Linked DNA regions of Bombyx mori. The protein of the gene in region 2 purifies or fractionates together with the protein of the main gene of each other region. This does not show direct contact. Links are inferred from orthologs where the notes say so. Each region holds a gene or a part of one and is shown on either strand. Other genes may lie near its edges.

The links. Proteins that work in one complex are often made in the same cells at the same time.
Region 1: the proteins of valine--tRNA ligase (region 2) and Ef-1d purify together in Homo sapiens (affinity purification with mass spectrometry; 5 studies listed by BioGRID and IntAct, counting the BioPlex papers as one, with this or other methods). This does not show direct contact. The link is inferred for Bombyx mori from reciprocal best matches to the Homo sapiens genes VARS1 and EEF1D.

The regions. Positions count from the first base shown.
Region 1 is NC_085111.1:9,758,414-9,764,976, reverse strand, and holds the start of Ef-1d (elongation factor 1 delta), read right to left. Parts: upstream 4,274-6,563; 5' UTR 4,214-4,273; intron 3,972-4,213; 5' UTR 3,971-3,971; coding exon 3,884-3,970; intron 3,767-3,883; coding exon 3,680-3,766; intron 2,993-3,679; coding exon 2,807-2,992; intron 1,791-2,806; coding exon 1,643-1,790; intron 1,170-1,642; coding exon 928-1,169; coding exon of another isoform or gene 853-927; exon of another isoform or gene 1-852.
Region 2 is NC_085114.1:14,516,160-14,522,633, forward strand, and holds the start of valine--tRNA ligase, read right to left. Parts: upstream 4,362-6,474; 5' UTR 4,217-4,361; coding exon 4,055-4,216; intron 3,094-4,054; coding exon 2,926-3,093; intron 2,540-2,925; coding exon 2,406-2,539; intron 1,917-2,405; coding exon 1,758-1,916; intron 1,226-1,757; coding exon 964-1,225; intron 243-963; coding exon 112-242; intron 1-111. UniProt on the Homo sapiens protein: Catalyzes the attachment of valine to tRNA(Val).

The DNA.
Region 1 (6,563 bases), on a different chromosome or scaffold from region 2:
AAGTTCAATAATAATTTCTAGAAAGTTTTCTCCAATTTTCAAATGCTAATATTGACATTTTTAACCAAATTTATTCATATCATGTAACAGTATACCAATAACAAAAATTTGTAAAAGGTAATTATGAAATGATATTTATTAAGTAAAAAAAGCATTGCTGTCACAATATGAGATATTAAACATTAATGTTTCCATACTAACATTGCATTATTTTCAAACCTGTTCTTTACATAAGATGTTTTTTTTTACTGCTTAAGTGGGTGGACAAGCTCACAGGCCACCTGGTGTTAAGCGGTTACTGGAGCCCGTAGACATCCACAACGTAAATGCGCGACCCACCTTGAGATATAAGTTCTAAGGTCTCAGTATAGTTACAACGGCTGCCCCACCCTTCAAACCGAAACTGCTTCACGGCAGCAATAGGCAGGGTGGTGGTACCTACCCGTGCGGACTCACAAAAGGTCCTACCACCAGTAAACAATTGGTTCTCACCAATATAAATGCATGAGGTCATATTATTATGTGGGTATTCGTTATACATGAGCATATTATAATTCATAGTAAGATAGTCATTTATTATAACTCCAAATATCGTCTGGTTCCCTATTCTATTAAAGAACCGTGAATTTTGTAAATTGTCAGAATATTTTAAATTAATCTCTCTGATCTTATGTGTTCATATCTTTTTAATTCAATAAAACGGCAAACAATCTTATAGACCACACATTGAGAAATTACTGGAGCTCATAAAGAAAGCCCCTCCCTCATTTTAGCATGTTGACAGTTACAACTGCATTAATATAAGGGCTTTCTTGTCCTATACAAGTTCATAACAGGCACTACAGTGAATACTTAAGCATCAATATTTGATATTAGCTGCCATATACTTATTATTACCATTTTTTCTATAGTACACTGAACACTTACATAGTCTTCATTTTTCTCGATTTCCTCAGTAAGCCAATCAATAGAAACCTTATCATCTTCAACAACACAGGAAATTTGCAGCTTATGGATACCATAAGCCAAAGGCACTAGTTTAGCGGCACCCCACAAGAGGCCATCAGTGCTGATTGACCTTACAGCTTGTTCCAAGGCTGCCATATCAGTCTCATCATCCCATGGCTTTACATCCAGAATAATATTCGACTTTGCAATTAGCACTGGCTCTGTGAAATAATTATTTTTGGATTGGTTATTAATACTATACTTTTATACTATTTATCATAATATGGTCTAATTATTTTTTAGAAATTCTTAATATCAGCAAAATGGCAATTTTAAAGGTCATAAATATGATTTACATGTTACTATCGTAATCAAGAATGATGAAATTCATAGAAAAGCTTAAGTAGCCAACAAGCACTGGAAACTTGAAGGGATATTGTATGTTATGGTACTTGGCCTGAAAACCTGAATGACAATCTTTCTTATCCAAGCATTGTATTATGAATGTAATAAGTATGTATGTTAAATATTATGTATGTAATAGTTTTGGAATGCAGACCACACCCCAGAAAGTGTAGAATGTTATGCCTACAAAGTGACTGAGCTCAGGGCACAGCAGTATCCAATCTGTCACTTTAGAAACAGATCAGCACAGTAGATGCACAGAGGAGCAAGAATTATGTTTATAGCCTACTTTTAGCTTTCTTTGCATTATATGCAGCAAGACGCTCTTCCTTTATCTTAGCTGCTTCAGCACTCTCCTCTTCATCATCTGAACCAAACAAATCAACATCATCATCTTCGTCATCCTTATCAGTAGAAGCTGCTGCAGGTTTTTCTGACTGAAAGGTAAATGATAAATATATTTAGTAATACAATAGGTATTTTGTACATTTAAAATTATTGCATTTTAAATTTAAGAAGAGACAATAAATGCCTGAAATTGCCAATTTTGCTGATAAGACTCTGGAAGCTCTACAGTGGAATTAACTTTAAGACTTAACTTTGGAATTAATGGTTTGGCAACACATATGTTTTGGCATATAATCTTTCCCATTGTCTTCCAAATCTTGAAAAAAGATCACCCTATTTACAGAATATACAGGGTATATATTTCATGTCAGCTTATCATACAATGAAAATCCATGAAGTTGCCATTTCACAACACTGGCAATTTGTAACGTAATTTAAGTATGCTGGTAATAAATTCTAAGCTCAAATAAATTTATATAAATAATATTGAATTATATTTTCAAATTCAGTCATTTATTTATTGTTAGTCAATCATCATCAATATCTACATGATAAAATTCGAGTATAAGAAATCTGTCACAGTAAGAACGCCGCACATACAGCTCACAGCATTAATGACGTGTACAGAGGGCACACCACAAACGAACGTAAAACTCGTTTTAAGTTTGAATGCTTCTGATATGGAAATTTTAATCTAAAAAATCAACCCTGTGGTCGCTGAAAACTAAAGTAAGCAACAACGCGTTAAAGGTGATAGTGGAAGTTGAAAATATTCAATCAACTGCTAAGTTGCAGTAGCTTTCAATGTTAGCTTCAAAGAGACTTTCCAGTACGCAGATGCAGTACAGAAGGTACCACCAAACTGCCTATTTCTGCCGTGAAACAGTAATGCGTTTCGGTTTGAAGGGTGGGGCGACTGTTGTAACTATATGAAACCATATCTCAAGGTAGGTGGCGCATTTACGTTGTGGATGTCTATGGGCTCCAGTAACCACTTAACACCAGGTGGGCTGTGAGCTCGTCCACCTATCTAAGCAATAAAAAAATATGTAATACTAATGTCCCAAATCTATTATTACTTTCCCCTTATAAATTCAATGCTTACTTGAATACAATCAGAGGTGATACTGCTGGATGATTCCAAGGTTTCAACACGGACTTGCAGGCTGATGACTAAATTACGTAAATCATCTATAGCCTTTTTCAAATCCTTGTTTTCGTTTTCTAAGCTGATGACTTTAGTACTGAGCTCTGTATTAGGAACACCCGCCAAAGTTGCTACACTATCCATCTGAAAAAAAAAGTGAATACTATACTCTCTATTGCACTACTCGACATGAAAATCTATTAATTAATTAGCATGTTTATATAGGCATATTGAAATAAGACAATAAATTTAAATAAATGTTGTATACTAATTTACAATACTAATTTTCTACAGTAAAATAAACAAGAATGATTCTCTAATATTTCATAGCACAAAAAAGCCAAGCCAAAAATTGCTACTGAAAATGACCTCTATTGCCTTTATTTTATATGAAATGAACTGAGCCAAAATTTTATTGTTTTACTTATTTCAATTTCACTTTATTTTATTAGTTCAATGTAGATCTTATGCAAAATGTAATCTAGCCATTCTCAAATACAAAGTGGATTGAACGGATTATTTTAACACAAGCAGAAAACTATATTAGCTTTCTAATGACGTTAGAGTTACTTGTCACTAATATACTCATATTTGATAAACCTGAAATCTAAAGCAAAAGCAGCTAGTGGACATGTTCTCTGTGTCACAGAGTACCCTGCATATAAGCTGATTTTTATTTGTTATAACATAAAAAATGAGAAATTAAAACTTTGTCTTTGCTTATTGAAACAATAACCTTACACACAGATATTTGACAAATAAATACTGTGACAAATCTAATAGATTTGTGTGAAGCAATGTGTGAAATATAATAAAACAACATCTACTCACACATTCTAAAGAATTTTTAATATGCTGTCTAGCCTTTGCGACTTCACTGGCCAATGATGATCGAGCTAACGATAATGGTGCTTGGACCTACAAAATCATCATTGAATTACGTTAACTATCGACAAACTCCATTCTTTAAAGTATAATTTATAGAATTACTCAGATGAAAAAATGTATGAATAATTTTTTTTATTAAAAACTTACCTTCGACAAAGATTCATAATAAGCTTTTTCAGCATCATTGTAAACATTCCGGTCTAACCAAACCTTCTCGTGTAATAAAGCAGCCATGCTAAAATATTAAAATGAAACTACTTAGTACTCATTTAAGCATTTTTAAGTATAAATTGATGATGAAAAATTATTCGATGAACGTGAAACGATATTTAATTGTGGATTAATTAATCACCATATTATGTAAAAAATTGAGCGAAAATAAAGGCGGTAGCAAAAGTTTCAAACCTAAGCTAGGTTATCTCTAAACTACCTACCTACGTGTTTCTTGTCATCTAATAATTTTAAATATTTACCAACCTGATTATTCCAAAATTTAGATTTGAATTGTATTTAAATACAATAAAAACGTTGGTTCATACAATTAAATTGAATTTTTACGTAAATAAAGTTAATAGAGCAAACCTAACAGCCATTCAAATGATGACGGAAACTAAAAAGACAAAGACAACCAAAAACAATTGACAAGTGCTAAAAATTGAAATGTGTCCAGTGAGTGGTCCAGTGTTGTTAGTTTCGTCTATGGAGGAAAGTTCTATAGTTTCTTTTAATGAGAGGCAAAAGGATCATAGAACGGATATTCATCTCTTTTATAAAAAAAAAATTAAGCCATTTCTGTACAAACATAAAAATCATTCGCATTACTGAAATTGTTGTCCGAATCTCGTTCCGCAAAACGAACTTATCATTTTTTTGTATTGGAGTTAATGTTTTCCAGTCAAGAAATGAAAGACGATTTGAGAAGCAATCACGAGTGACACAAGTCTTAATAGCACAGATTTACATTAAATGTAATAAGAATGGACAAAACAAGTTGTGTTTGTGTTATATCATTAGATAAGTGAAAGAAGACACAAAAGAAGTCGATAGAAACAAAAAAGTGGTAGTTTGGATCTATGTTGTTGGAGTTTGTATATTAAATGTAATGGCAGGCAACACTTGACACTTGATTAGATTTCGAATATTGGAATTATTTTAAATGTTTTAAAAAACAGATCATTGTATTCTCGTAAGAAAATGTCAGTAGGACTTCTCATCTCGACACAGCATGAAAAACATGTAATAGTTTTATAAAATATATAAAGATAATAATTGTATAATGGTGTAAAAGTGTTTAAGCAATCTGCAATATAATTATAATGAAGCAGTTGTGTTTTTAAATAGCCCCTCATCACCTAAAGAACCCAATCCCTTCAAAATATAACCGTCCAACATATGTCCTTCTCTTACTAAACACTTAATACTACAACCATAAATATACGAATATACATTATGAAAGAATATATAAATACATTTGGCGGAAACGCGAGGAGGGAAAGTTTTGTGATTTGATTTATTTTCTTAATTCAGTGTTTCTTCAGCTTTAAATGTGTAATAGTGATGGCTTATTTTTTGTTTTACACCTGTGAAAGTTCCCAAATGTAGAAAAATATATAAAAAGATAGACATAGTTAGCATCTCGAGCTATTTCAAAAAGTCCTCTAAAAAGTCTCACTAAGCAACCACCATTTTACTGAGACTTTGTTTCACCTCATCTTATCTAGCTTCACTTAATTTCATCCGAATTAATTGAAATCTCAAATAAACTAACTTCATCTCATTTTATCTCATTTCTTTCCTCCATATCAAAACGATAAGCTTTTTTCTTTTTGGAACAATGACCAAACCGCTTGCGACATTTTTTCATCTAGAGGTTATGCGGGGTATGTAGGTCTTGACGGTCTGCAGATGTTAGAAGCAGACCGCAGGCCCAAAGATAATTTTACGGCCACCCACCAAACGCCTACCGTCGCACTCTTAACCTGACAACCGAGATCAGAACCCGGGCGGAGTAGGGGGTTCTCGCAGTTAACACTACAACTAGACTTGACGGGTCAACGAGGCAATCGTCGACAACTAAGAACGCTGGCATCCACGGATAGTTGGCGCGCTTGCTGGACTTTCGAGATATCCTGCTGGGTCAGAACCAGACTGCCAGGTCATTTATCTTCCTGATTGCAACGCGTTCGCTTTCACCGTCCTTAGACCCTTCCTCCTAGCACTAGGCTGACGGTAGCACGTGGCGTAGCGTCAACCCTCTCATCTCAGCTTCTGATCATTACCGAGAGGAAACTGCCTCCTTACACGCCCCGGAGACGACCGGGGACTAATGTCCAGCGAAAGCTCTTCCCTGTCCCCAGCTTGGCGACAACGGGTCGGTGCGGAGAAGGATGAGCTATGTCTCTCTCGTTCCACCGCCTGCTTCTATAAAATGGTGGACACACAGAAGTCGAGCATCGCCTTCCAGGACTTGTCGCTACCGAGTAGTACCGAGCATCGTAGCCTTGACAATCGGCATTCGCTGCCGATGTCAGTCCTATTTGTGCTACGAGGACACGCGCTGACCCAGCCACGGGGGGCAGTACTCGGGCGCATCCTCCCCCGTATCCTGGTCGCAGCCATAATTCTGTGAAGTGGAACATCATTGTTAGTTCCCTTCGGGCAACGTGGCATAGGTACCGTCCGAAACACCCATGGCCAGTGAACACGTCCATGAACCGAAAAGTGAGACGATCTCAGTCGCGGTTCACCCAGTCCAGGAGAACCTGGCGCACCGCCTCAACGATCTAAGGATCTATTCCAGCTACGCCCGGATTTCTAAGTCAGTTCA
Region 2 (6,474 bases):
ATAGGCAGGGCGGTGGTACCTACCCGCGCGGACTCACAAGTGGTCCTACCACCAGTAATGAAGAATGCAATATTTGTAATATTTACTTACAATATAGATCAGGGTATATACCTGGCATCGTTAGGGTGGACAGCCACAGCCACATCCCCAAGCATAGTTTCTACTCTAGTGGTAGCCACTATCACCTCCTCATCCGAGCCTTCAACTTTGTACGCAAAGTGAACCAGTACTCCGAACTCGACCTAAAAATATTTACTAAATATTGACTTAAGAAACTTCTTCAATATTATCAACATGATGTTTTATGTACAGGAAGGTTTTTGAAAATATGTTAGTTTTTGCAATTTAGCAATTTAGCAATTTGCATCTTTCCTCAAACAATTGTCTTTGTCATTAGATTCCAGACATATTGGGGCCCAGTGGCAGTATGCCTCTCATACATGAAATCATGGACTTAAAACCGGCAATATCCAGATCCTCGGGCTTCCTGAATGTCGCATTTAGGTGTATTCATGGGTGCTCACAGTTCAACTTTTGTTAGCAATCTGGCTGAAGAAACGTTTATGGTTCTTGTCAACCTTGAATATCACTATTCACCTTAGAGCGAGACATCAAAATCTTAATCTATACTAATATATAAATCTACAGTGGTTTTTACGGATGTTCCGTTATAACCACTGAACTGTACATCCGATTGACTTGAAACTTGGTATCCATGTAGAAAATACATGTACTTAATGGATAGACTAATATTTCTACGAATGTTGGACTCTCTACACCGTTAATGATGAGAATCTTTGTGGGGGTGAGAAATAATAACGTTAATTTTAATTGCCCAGCGAAGCGGACGGGTACAGCTAGTTATATTATAATAAGATCTATTCTACTCTTTAGGCTTTGCTTCATAGCAGATAGCAGCGCGATCGAACTACATGAAGTAAAGATAATAAAAAGCCATCATACCTTCTGTTCATATCCTGGTATTGCCAACAGAGTTCTTCCAGTCAATTCTAATTTATCTACTTCTATGTCAGAGATAGCGCTCTTCAACGTACAGGACCAGTTGACCAATCGGTTCGCACGATAGATGTCTCCAGCGTCGTGCAATCTTATGAAGGCCTCATTAACAGCTCGGCACATTGATGGGTCCATCGTGAAGCGGACTCTGGACCAGTCGTAGGATGAACCGAGAGACCGAAGCTGCTCGTATATCCGGACTCCTTTTCTGTTATTATTTGATTTACTTTAACTGCGCTTTTTTTTCCTACCTAAGCTGGTAGCCTTGAGAGGCTGTATCAGCGTAAACTTAACTAGTAGGTGAGCTCACGGGGCTCAAACCTGACGACGTTGCTAACACGAACCCTAACAAGAGTGGTGCTTCGGAGAATCTACCACCGGATCGGAAACGCGACCCACTGAGAAGATCCGGCGAGAAACTCAGTGGGTTGTGTCTGAGGGTTAATTTACTCGTCGAGCCCTTCGTCGCAAGCGACGGGTTCGACGAGAACGATGACCGGTTAATTGTGCAATGAATACACTACAACGTTAATTATAAACTACTGTCCGGACACCATCAAAACTTAGTCTGGTTAAAAATAAATGTAAAGGTGATGTAAATGCATTGAAAATAAATCAGCATTAGAACAATTTCGGACAACACTAGTACAACAGTGTTATAAATGTAGTAACATTGATTAAAATTTTTTTTTATCAAATTTTATCAACAGCTTCTCACTGGGTTTATCAATACAACTCACTCATTCTTCCAGTCCCAAACTCGTTTGATGAACTCTTCTCTGCCAAGTTCATGCCGAGTTTTTTTCTCTTCTTTCCAAAGCTTCTTTTCTACCACAACTTGTGTAGCAATTCCGGCATGGTCACAACCAGGATTCCAAAGTGTTGTACGCCCATTCATTCTAAACATATTTAGTATTGGAGTTACTACACTTTTGAACACCTCAATCTTAATGTGACCTCTTTGCCCAGCAATATGCTTTAATAAAAAAAAATTATTAAAAAAATTTGTTCAAAAACGAAAAAAAATTTTTACTAGAATTTTTAATGCATAAAACAATGTTTTTACAGAGATACAATAATCAAGTTACTACAATACTCAGAAAAAAAAAACATTATTTATGTCTAAGCTAATTTAAGAAAAATGATGGGATGGTCAGATAAATCCACAAATCACCATCACCAAGGTCTTGCCTATTTTGTCATGAAGTAGTCGTTCATTCTACTTCAATATAGTCTATTATATAGTTCTTAAACTATATAATAGACCTCAACCTCAATTCTCAATGTGCTGCTTTTATGATGCAAGCTTTACGAGCTCGAGTGACACTTTATATTAAATGGGGTATGAGCGAATTTGACAAACTACATATATAACAAAGATGGATTACCTATGCCACCTAGTTAGTGCATCTTCAACGGCGTTGGTCAGTGCATGTCCAAGATGCAGTGTTCCAGTGACATTAGGGGGAGGTATAACCATCACGAAATTACCCTTCGGATTGGGATCCAATATTGATTTCCTCTGAAAAAAAAAAACATTTTTTTTTGTCTCCCTTATTAGCAGTCAGGGCGAAACAATTCCTTCCAGATAATCTTGATTGTTTTAAATGAGGTCTCTGATAAATAATATCTTATGTACAAATTTAATAATATTCAACTCTTCCAAAATTATACTTATGTAAATAAAATACACCTTTACTGGTATAAAACATGATTTCCAAATAAATGATTATAAAAAAAGGAAATTTTAGGACAAAAACCATATTTCTCTATTTACACACTACAACCAAGTTCATTTGAATTTTAACTTAATCATTGAGCAAAAATTTCAGGAACTTTATTAATTTGACATTTTAAAATTTCCTGTCTTGTCTAAATTTAGTATTAAAATAGATTACAACTACTCACACCATACTCTGGCTTAAAGAAACCCTGTTTCTCCCACCATGCATACCATGCAGCCTCAACATACCGGGGGCTGTAGGCATCGGGCATAGCACCACTGATGTCCTTCATGTCACCAAGCGCTGTGTTGGCCGTGTACACTGCCGCTTCTTTTGATTCCTTAATTTTTTTCTTAAACAAGGATTGATAAATTAAACTTAATTTACAATTATTATTTTTTTGCTTAGATGGGTGAACGAGCTCACAGCCCACCTGGTGCTAAGTGGTTACTGGAGCTCATAGACATCTACAATGTAAATGAGCCACCCACCTTGAGATATAAGTTTTAAGGTCTCAGTATAGTTACAACGGCTGCCCCACCCTTCAAACCAAAACACATTACTGCATATCATACAGCACGGTTTATTTAGCTTGTTTAAGCTCTAATTTTAATTTTTTTTACAGTATTTAGATTCAGGCAAAAGATATTACTTCATAGTTAGGTTTTTTTTACATGTTCGCTGGTAGACTAGGAGGCTATTCCAGCTACGCCCTGATGGTAGGTGAGCTCACTGTCTCAACCTAAGAAATTTGCTAACACTTCTTCTAGCAAGAGCAGTGCCTCAAAGAATCTACCACCAGATCGATCAAAATTGCCACTCACTGAGAAGATCAGAGAGAAATACTCAGTGGGCATTGGTAGAATTAGAGTACAGTTCCCAGTTTTTGTCATGTTGTCATTTTGTCCTCTTTGTCATGTAAAAGCTTTTTCAAGATTTTTTCTAGTTTAGGACTGTTATTACTTGTTGTTGTCTCACAACATAGAACCTTAACATAGGACTAACTAGGCTAAGGCTTTTCATTAACAGAATTTATATACAAATACAGAAATGTTAATTCTTTCCATAATCAAGAAAAATAAATATTATCTATAATATTACTGGATAGCAAAATAGTGTTTAATACCATAATGAATTTAATGAAAAATGTTAGAACTGATGTAATTTTAGTAGTTAATTTCTTTTCACTTTCACTTTATAACCTATTTGTTACTTTATAACCTATGTTGTCTGTTTAAATCAAAAACACTTTCTTCATGGTTATTTTATAACTTAAATATAATATATTGTTTCTATAAAATTACAATAAATACCTCTGGCTTTTCTTTCGTAACAGCTGGTGCCGCGCTCTTCTTGTCCAGCTTGGCTTTGAGTTTTTCTAACTTAGCAGCTTTCTTAGCTTCTTTTTCCAATTGTTTGGCAGTTTTCTCCTGCGGCTGATCTTCCCCAGTATTTTGGGATTCATTGTCAGTCATCTTTACTATTATTATTTAAGTAATTCACCCCGAATTACAGTTCTCCTCTACACAGCAACTACAAAATTATTACACTTCGGTGGCACTTTATCTCTATAGTTAATACATATGTGTATTATGTATAAGACTCTATACAATTGTGTGCTGCGTGGTTTTGACATTGACATTTAAATATTTTTTATGGGATCTTATGACCTGGTAACTAAGACTTTTAGGTCAAGTCTTATTTTAATTTATATTCTTATTTTTATGAAAAATGATATATTATCAGTGAAATATAATGAAATGAGATGAGATGATATGGGATGAAATATAATCTCAGTAAAATGCTGGTTATAAAATTTACTGAGACTTTTTCAGTGGGCTTTTTGGAGGATCCCGAGCTCCTCCAGCTACGTCCAGCGGCTTTGTTTCATTTTCACACATTTTTTCACTTTCAAATATATTAAACAGTTAATAAACCATCATTAACTACATTACATACAAATAGACAAAATAAAACAAATAAGACGACTTCACTCCTCGCGTTCCCGCCAAAAAGTTACATTTGAAACCAAATAATACAATTAGTCCCAACTCTCCGTTTGTAAATAAAATATGATGAAAATTTAATTGTACATGATTTGTTTAAAAAATATATCCCATGAGCATAAATGATACACTTAATAAATAAGTTCACGAATCCATTGTTTTATTTCAGTTTTCAAAAATAACAAATTTTTGAAGTTTTTGAAAAAATTTATAAAAGAAATGATTTAAATATTTTTAATAATAGGACGTTATTTATACCAATTTTCGAAAAATAAATACTTTTCTTCTTGTTTTAATATAAAAGCATCTGAAATATGAAAGTTCTATTATAAATATTAACACAAGCATTTGTGGTAATTATTAGTTTTTAAAATAAATAAAATAAAAAGATTACAATAATTTTTGTGTCTGTCCAAAGTAGTCCAAACCAACATGAAACCAACCATTTTTGTTTTTGTAACCTTCTTGACAATGATGGTCATCATTAAAGTCTTAGCAAAGCTACTATTTAAAAATAAAGTAGTTACGGTCTTAATTAAAAATTACGTTTATATAGTAGTTACATTTTATGCTACGTTTAGAGGTACATATACCAATATTTTTGTTTTTATTATCTATACAAATATATACGAACCAGCTCTCGGCCCACTCGGCCAAAACTCATTGCTGCTTCGCAGCTGAAATAGGCACGGCAGTCATCTGAGCTGGCTCACACTTCCTATTCGTATATTATATATATTGATACCAAAGCTATATACATACCCCGCGTATAATTCATATTGCATCTATTAGAAATTACTGACGTTATTAACTGTGCAAAAAGGACTTTCCGCCGGGAACGTGGGCGCGAAATCGTCTGAATTGTTTTGTCTTGTTAATTTAGTGCTACTTCGGGTTTAAATGTTTTAATGGTAGCTTATTAATCGTTCAGCATCTGCGCAAAAGCACAAGTCTGAGAAAATGAAACCAACAACCAACCAACCAATAAATTCATGCTAGGGCATAATTTCATCTCGTCTCGTTTCATGCTAGTTGATTCCATTTTAATTCACCCCAATTCATTTAACTTTCAGATAAACATTTTGGTTAGTTTAAATGATTATCACGTCAATGAATAAATTTATATAACAAGACAGTTAATGACGGAAAATAGTAACGGTGTGCTCTGAGCCAATTGTGATTCTATCCAAAGGCGGATACGCATGACGTTCAAATAGTGCACAAATGCAATATCATTCTAAATTGACTGAACTTTATTTTTGTGTAAAAAATAGATTTTGATTTTTATTGTATGTTGTATGCTGTAGTAGATTTACATAAATTCCACCGATATGCTATTCATCAATTTACAGAGGGCGCTACCTCATACTATAAAAGATGATTTACAGTTATTTACTAATGACAATATTTTACATATATGTACTTAGACATTTAGGATAATTGTATTTTAATTTTTGGAGGTTTCACTTCTACTACTTATGGATTGCACACATATCTGTTTTTATTTATTTATTTTGTTTAAGACGTAAATAAAAAATATTCGCTAAACTGAGGTTGCATCACTTAAAATCGCAGTAAATCAACGTGATTCAAAGCCTAATTCTTTAATTTATAAATACGTTTATTTATACTCACTTTAGAGCTCATATTGAATGATATCCATATTTGCATCAAAGTAATTGGCTTATTTATTTTATTTTTTTCATTTATTTCAGATTTTCCCTCCA